2 linked regions of the Caenorhabditis elegans genome follow. The protein of the gene in region 2 purifies or fractionates together with the protein of the main gene of each other region. This does not show direct contact. Each region holds a gene or a part of one and is shown on either strand. Other genes may lie near its edges.

Region 1 (4,082 bases), 2.1 Mb from region 2:
GCATAGTCAAAAATACCAGAATATGCTAATCAAAGTATATTAGCTTGTACGGAAGTTTTTTTTTTTTAATGATAAAAATATATAAAAGCTGGTTTTTTTCAAAAATTCAAAAGTCCTGGAAAGTCATATGGAGTCATTCTTTTTTATTTCAGAAAACTGTTTAGCATAGTCAAAAATACCAAAAAATGCCAATCAAGTATAATAGCTTGTACGAAAGTTTTTTTTAAAATTACATTTTTAGCACATTTTTAGCACATTTTTAGCACATTTCAAGCACATTTCTAGCACATTTTTAGCACATTTCAAGCACATTTTTAGCACATTTTTAGCACATTTTTAGCACATTTTTAGCACATTTTCAGCACATTTTTAGCACATTAATGGCACTTTTTTTTGTATGATAGAACATGTAGAATATAGGTGCTAAGTGATCTTTATCTCTGCATAAATAATTGAAACAAAATTAATGTGTAAAAATAGTAGAAAATTTTTTTGGTCCACTTTCAAAATTATGAGTGGCAATAACGGAGTCACTTTTCAACAGTAAATGAACAATTTTCCAAAATTATTGATATTTGGTCCTTTTGGCACCATAGGCGTAGTTTTTTGCCAATTTCCCACTGGTGCTACTCAACGTTTAGATGAAATCACATAAAGAAAACGACAACTGTAGTTTAAATAATGGTTGTTGCAGAATTTGGCAGCGAGATCATACTCTAGTGTTAAGTTTCTTACCTCAACATGTTCATTTTTTAATCTGTAGAAAATTAAAAACTAATAATTGGGATAATACATTCCACCAAGATTCCAAATTGAAAACATCAGAAGATTGCTTGAAAATAAATTTATTTTTTTCGGAAATGAAATTGAATTGCAAATTTAAGAAAATTTCAATAGAATAAGTTTAAACTTTTATGGGAGTCTCTTGTAGAATCTGCGGCCTTCGATATTGTTGAAGCTCATCTTCTGTAATTAACAAAAATGTATGTCAAATAGATTGACCAAATTTTACCTGAATAAGAAAATCTCCATCAAAGTAATACTCATAGGTTTCTTCCTTGGATTCTCCCTCTTCAAGTGGCTTGTGATGTTCGAACAAGTGTCCGTCCTTGAGAGTGAAGGTAACCTGAAAATTATAATTGAAATAAAAATAAAATAAAAAGTACATGGCATGGAACTCACCTCGTGCTTGGTGTTATCAAGACCCTCTCCTTCGAACTTGCTTCCGATCTGGACGTTTTTGTAGAACACATCTTTTTTCGATGTCAAGTTGGAGTAGTCGAAGAGGTTTTTGTTAGCATTCTTGGCAAAAACCTTCTTGAATGTCGCAAAGGTTACAAGCTTTCGAGTGAACCATCCGTATCCTTTGGCAGTGAGGTACTCATCAAAATTTTCAGAGTGATCCAAGTCGAAGGTTCCATAGAACTTTTCTGGAAGCTGTTCGGCAGCCACAAGGGTAGCTCCACAAAATGCGAGTAAGATGAGGAATTTCGAAGACATTTTTGTTCAAGTCAATGACTGAATGACTGAAGTGTCCACAGAAATGAAGATTGATCAAGACTCCGCCCAGTTGCTCAATCGACAACACAATAAAACTGAGGTCAGCCACGTGTGTAATATAGGGTCACGGCACGGATGGCAACAACAAATTGATGATCGGACTTACTTGATTTTCAAAAATCCTCACAACACCTGGAAGCTAATAATAAACAAAATTTAAGAGACCGAACGAAAACAATTCATCGATTACTTGTTGAAATGCAGAATGAATTTTGTCGAAATAAATTTAAACGCGTTAAGAAAATTGAAAAGAAAACTGCTACGTTTTTTGACTGCACATCAAACAATTTAAGACTTAAAAAAATATTTTTAATGAGGTCCTCAAGATCCAATGATTTTAGTTATTAAACTATGTATTTTGAGAAATGGTTCTTATTTAATGGTACCTTATTCAGAAATTAAATGTGAAAATCAGGAAAAAAAAAATAAAAAAGAGCATACGAAAGAGTAGAAAAAACTCCATTTTATAGAAAACTTTCGAACACAACATCGAAAAAAAAAAACCGAAAAGTGATTGGATTTTGACCCACCCGAAATTTTAAACTGGTTGTGTCCTTTTTGTGTTTTGAATTACGTTTTTGCAAATATCACGGCGCAATCGAACTTTCATGTTTTGATTCCAGCATAGGTTCAATTCATCTGATAATTTGATTCTTAATTTCAAGTCTTCAATGTGCAAAATTTTCTTTTTAACACTTGTGTCACTTTTACACGTTAACAAAAATTCAAATTTTAATCAACTTTGCTTTCTAGAACTCCTAATATGTACATTTTTAAACCAGTGAAAACATTTCCCAAACAAAAAACTTCAGAGGGCTATGCAGCATGAATCACAAAAGAACCGCGTTATTTTTCTTATTTTTTGCCCCATATCACATTACAGAATCGATCTAACTTTTCAGTTTATTTGAAACTTGAAATACATCAGTGGCAAAAAAAGTACATTGAGAAATCAATTCATACAAAAATTACAATAGTTTCTGAATATTTATGGGAGTCGTTTGTAGAATCGGCGTCCCTCAACTCCATTGAAACTCATGCGCTGAAAATTACAATCATGAGAATGTGAAATTGGTTTTTAAAAAATGTTTATAACTTACCACAAGAAGGAATTCCTTATCGAAAAGGTACTCGTAGGTCTCTTCCTTGGCGTCTCCTCCCTCGAGTGGCTTGTGATGCTCAAACAAATGTCCGTCCTTGAGGGTGAAAGTGATCTGAAAATTAATTAATTAATCAATTTGAAAGGTTACTTGAAAACTTGCAAAAGCGTACCTCGTGTTTGGTGCTGTCAAGTCCTTCTCCCTGGAAGGCTTTTCCAAGTTGGACATTCTTGTAATGGACGTCTTTCTTTGATGTCAAGTTGGAGTAGTCAAAGAGGTTCTTGTTGGAAGTCTTAGTGAACACCTTTTTGAATGTGGCAAAAGTGACAAGTTTACGAGTGAACCATCCGTATCCTTTAGCAGTGAGATACTCATCAAAATTTTCGGAATGGTCCAAGTCAAAAGTTCCATAGAACTTATCAGGGAGAACAGCAGCTGAAGCAGCTCCAACAAGAACCAGGAGAAGAGCGATTTTAGCGCACATGGTTGGCTAGGTCGATGAATGAACGACTGACGTCTTGGCAGGACTGTGGGCTGTGTGTCGACGTCGTCTGCGTGGACCCCGCCTACTTGCACAGTCGTAAACAACATTGTACGGCAAGAAGTGCAGCCCACATGTCGATTGCGCTGACGATTAGCAGAGATGGACGGCTGGACTCGGATGGGTATCGAAAGAGAGTGTAGCATAAATGATTCGGGGCAGATTTTTTTTGTTCCGTGTGTTGGGGTCAGTTCGGATATTTTTGAAGAGAGTAGTTGCATGAATCGGGTCCTGGAAGACCGAACAATCAACTCAAAATAATTTCGTTGAAGGTTTAAGGCGAATCGAATTGCAATTTCCTTATTTGGTTGATATAATTTTATGTTATCATTATCTTTCATAGTCTATAGTATGATTCTCCATTTCTTCAGCAAACATTGAATACGGCAACAGGTCTTCAGGTCTGCAGTTCAAAACACAATCCATGCAGGGCTGGGACTTTGGAAAACCAAAAAAAACTACCGGAAAAAATTATGAAAATTTTTATTCATATAGAATTCGACCCACAGAAAAAGAAAACGACTTCAGAAAAAAAGTTTTTTTGCCGCAGAATTTCGGTACATTCGGTTTTGGGTTTTTTTGGTTTCAAAATGAAAACGAAAAAATATTGTAAGGATCCCATAAAACACAATTTTTCAAAAATATTTTTAAACTTTCAACACTAGCTAAAATTTTTAAGACACAAAATTGTTTTTTTTTCTGGTTTTCAAATGTTTGAGCCCTATTCCCAGATGACAGAATTCATATTAGAGATCATTGTTTTCCAGATGGCCTTTCCCGTAAATTGGCCAATACGATTCTCACGTTTTATTGGGCTACAATAGACCCATCTACTTTGTACCTTGGCTAATCTGTTCTATGTCCACTTTCGATGTTTGACC
Region 2 (4,191 bases):
TGTTTTTGAAAACTCACGTTTCTCACTTCTTTTATAGTTTTAGAAAAAATTAATTTTCCACACAAAATATGGAAAAACTAAACAAAATAAGCCTAAACAACTTTTTAAGCTAAAAGTTTAGCACAATTTAGCACAAGTAGCACACATTTTAAAGCTAATTTTTTGCACTCTCTCTTTATAGCACACTAAAAAGCCAGTATTTCATTTTTCAGAAAACTCCCAAACCACAATACTCTTTTCAAAATTTTTTTAAAACACAACATTAAATGAAAAATGCGTTTATTTTTCAGGCATTCTCAGTTTCTACTACTTTTCCGGACGATGGGTTGTTGAAGGTGTTCCGAAAGTCGATCTCTACTACTATTTTGTGCCAATTGTCATTGTGGTCATTGGTAATACTTTGAGCAGTCATTTTTCGACAAAAAATAAACAAACAATCCCATTTCAGGCAGTTACTTCATGGCCGACCTGTTCTTTGATGTCTACGAAATGGCTGTGGATACAACGTTCATTTGCTTCCGTAAGTGCAAACCACTTTGATGAATTTGATTTTTTTTTTCGACAGTTCCCTAAACATTCTCAATTTTCAGTGGAAGACAGCGAACAAAACGATGGAAGCCTTGAGCGACCGTTCTTCATGTCCGAAAAACTACTTGAAATTCTTGGCAACAAAAATGACATCCCCCTCCATTCAAAATGATCTCAACCCGAAACACCCATCCCTGTGCATATCAGCTTTAAAAGCCAAATTCTCATGTGTAATGATTAACTTATACATCCCGTGGTACATATTTTTGCACACGTGTACAGATAGAATTTTCAATTTTCATTTTCTTGACTCTTAGACTTTTACGGTTTTCAAAAATACCCACATTTTTCCTGTTATCACTCTGTCATCTCATGTAATCGTTTATCACTCTATTTTTTATTCATGAAGCACATGAACACATTTACACATTTTCGAACCATTTTTTTGTCGATCACGGCGCACCTCGCAACAAAACAAATTGTTGCGTTCAAAGATGTGTGACCAAACAACAATATGTTTTTCCTTTTGGCGACGTGAATAACGTAACATGTCGTGAGAATTGCACGTGCGCTCTATTGACAATTTTCAGAATGATTGTTGAATATTTCAAATTACGAAATGTTTCTAGAACAATCACTATCGAACGCAGACCATTTGTCATTCTGCCACGGGCGCCGAGGCACCGCTGCTATCGCTCCATCCTCATATACACACACATTCACCTGTTTTTGCCGTTTAGTGTCGCGCGCGCGCTCACCACTTTTCCAAATAGTTTGCACTGTTTCCACAATTCACTGCTGCTTTGCTCTTCGCTTTCCTATGAGGTTCCGGCTCATTCTTCCCATTTATCACGTAGTAGTCAGGCAAAGTTTAAGTCGCATTTCTAATTTGAGAATATTATATGATTTTGATTGAAAATCCGTTAAAATTGTAAAAATCTAGTTTTAATATTTTATCGTTCTCTAAAAACCTTATACGACCTGATTTTTATTACCAGCCCTGCTTCCTCCAGTAACATCATTTTATTGTCAAAATTGATCCGCGTGTTCATGTTTATAATCTTGCCCTACATAGCTACAACCTAGGCCAGCCTATTCAGCTTTTCGGCCAAATGTTTAGGCATTCTGTAAAATTTGGACGCTTTGCAACAAGAACACCCGCGCCGTTTTGCAACAGAGACTGCATTTGGGCTGTGAGGTCTAAAGCTGTGGTCTAAGAGCGCTGGTTGTTCATCTCCGCCTGTGTTTCTACTTCTTTAGTCCTGCCTGTGTTTCTCCATCGTTTTCCATTTCTTTCACCACGACCACCCCCACTGTGTCCACTGGCCGGTCCGTCGTCCCCGCCGTGTCCCGTCCATCCATCCGTCCGTGAGATGCGGCGTTGTGTGTTGGCGAGGGGCGAGGGGCGAGGGGCGAGGGAGAGTGTCTTTTCGGTGGTCTGCGCGGGTAGTGTGAGGCGGAGTGTATTGGGAATGAGAGGAGACAGGAGTGCGGGGTGTTTGTGTGTGTATGTGTCTATGGAACAGACACCGAGCATCGATCGATGGTATTATGTGTCCACCACATCCATGGTTGATGCATTATTTTCATCAAGCTTCGAATTTTTCAACTCTGTCCACCCAAGCATTTCCCTTTGTGTTATCAACATATTCCGGCGCGTGTTCTCTTTTTCCTACACGAACAATACACACACCAACGTTTTGATAACGGTCTTCAAACCGGCGGCTGTCACCTTCATTCTCCGATTGTCTTAACTTGTTGGTGTGTTGTTCACGCCGAAAACAAAAAAAATTCCTCCAATATGATGTTGCCATCACTTTATTTCGACAAAATCAAAATTTCTATCAATAACACTTTTCTTTTTTATTTTTCTCCCTCCCCCTCGCGCCTGCTTCCCGAAATGATTCATAACGCCTGGGGTCCTGATTCATATTCCCGTCCGCATCATTCTTTTTTGTTCCTCTCCAAACGTACTCTCTATATTATTTTATTTCAGAACCAGTACACCTACAACATGTCTGGCTGGGACGACTACATTAAGCTTCTGTTCGGAAAGAGCCCAGCCATCAAGAGAGCCGCTATCATCGGATCCGACGGGTCGGTTTGGGCTAGAAGTGGGGATGCCAACGCTTTCCGGGTAAGACGTTTTTTTTTTTTAATTTTTTAATGACTTTTTTAAAACTCCAAGGATTATTTAAAATCACCACAAAATTATAATTTCAGGCTACTGAGGTAGAGCTCAAACGTTTTGCTGCTCTGTTCAACGACATCAATTCGGTGCCTGGAACCGGCGCTGATTTGGAAGAAATTCACTACATTGTTCCCCGCGTCGAGGAGAAGCTCATCTTTGGAAAGAAGGAGCAAACCGGATTTTTCGCTGCCAAGACAAACCAAGGTGACCGAGTTCTTATTTCTTCCCAAAACGATGGTTTTTTTTTCAGCTATTGTGATTGCAATGTACGAGGGAGACAACGCTCAATCGGCTTCAGTCCGTGCCGGCGTCGAATACATTGCCCAGTACCTGGCCAGCTCTGGTTATTAGATACCTAAGGTAACAAAATACTTTTTGTTGGAATAGTTGATGAACCAATTACTATAAACAGTCTTATTTTCAGATTTGGAAGCAGTACGGTACCAGTTGCAACTCGATTCCCTTATGCTGCGCTATTCTCGTTTTTGTCTATGTGTGCGTGTTTCGCAATTCTTCATGTTCTATTCGGTCAAATTAATTAACAATTCATTGCTTGCTATATTTTACTCTCGTTCCTTACTATTTGCTCTCTCAAATTTTCTTTTATTAAAATATTCTTTTCACTCACTTCATTTTTCAATTTTCGAGGTTTCGGTAAGTCATTCCGAATTGATTCCAATTTCCCCACCCCCATCCCATTCATCCCATTCTTTTCTTAAGTGATTCTTTGAACACGGATTTTTCCTTTTTTTATTTTATAAATCGATTTTCGTTGACGATCAGCGCCTGATTCATACATTAATAAAACATGAGAGACGCATAAATGTAGAGAAAGAAAACTATGGAAAAATTGAAGTCAACTGCAAAGAATAACTGGATCCAAAAGAATGGATACTGGACTAACTTGAAGCTTTCGATAATCATAAGATTTTAGAGAAAATATCTCTCATAAAATTTTTTAATGTTTGACCCAGAAATATGGTACCTCCTGGTCTCGACAAGACTGCTCATTTTTGATGCAAAAAATTATGCTTTTCTTAAAAGGTACCGTATTTTTAGGTTTTGTTAATTTGAAGCTTATCGAAAAAGAAAGCAAAGTAGTGCACGTGAAGATTTATGAAGTGCGTTAAATTTAAAAAAGAATCAAGGAAAATTCGGCAAAGACAAGTTGAAAGTGTTACCAGGTTATACGACAATTGGATATTTTTTGGAAGTTTTTGCAGTTACTGGTTTCTGACATTTTTGGCTATTGGGAATTGCTAGCTCCTCGACATTTAAGCAATTGGCAATGTCGGCAAATGCTAGTTTCCTAATTTTTCAAGCACGCAAAAATTTTGATAATTTATGGTTTTTGAAATTCTCAGTAATTTGCCGTATTGGAATTTGCTGATTTTATTTGTGTTTTCTCGAGAAATGTTACACAAAATTTTCTTTGTATTTCATGACTACTAGAACTTATTCAAAACACTTTA

The links. The genes of interacting proteins can lie anywhere in the genome.
Region 1: the proteins of pfn-2 (region 2) and lbp-2 fractionate together in Caenorhabditis elegans (co-fractionation; one large-scale study listed by BioGRID). This does not show direct contact.

What each region holds. Positions count from the first base shown.
Region 1 is NC_003284.9:3,258,220-3,262,301, reverse strand, and holds lbp-2 (Fatty acid-binding protein homolog 2), read right to left. Parts: upstream 1,693-4,082; 5' UTR 1,501-1,692; coding exon 1,183-1,500; intron 1,127-1,182; coding exon 1,013-1,126; intron 967-1,012; coding exon 913-966; 3' UTR 832-912; downstream 1-831. Other genes in the region: lbp-1 (Fatty acid-binding protein homolog 1), read right to left, coding at 2,549-2,602, 2,661-2,774, 2,833-3,144. UniProt on the Caenorhabditis elegans protein: May play a role in sequestering potentially toxic fatty acids and their peroxidation products, or it may be involved in the maintenance of the impermeable lipid layer of the eggshell.
Region 2 is NC_003284.9:5,352,406-5,356,596, reverse strand, and holds pfn-2 (Profilin-2), read left to right. Parts: upstream 1-2,524; 5' UTR 2,525-2,542; coding exon 2,543-2,665; intron 2,666-2,751; coding exon 2,752-2,923; intron 2,924-2,969; coding exon 2,970-3,070; 3' UTR 3,071-3,079; intron 3,080-3,143; 3' UTR 3,144-3,494; downstream 3,495-4,191. Other genes in the region: chtl-1 (Choline transporter-like protein 1), read left to right, coding at 291-392, 449-520, 591-700. UniProt on the Caenorhabditis elegans protein: Binds to actin and affects the structure of the cytoskeleton. At high concentrations, profilin prevents the polymerization of actin, whereas it enhances it at low concentrations. By binding to PIP2, it inhibits the formation of IP3 and DG.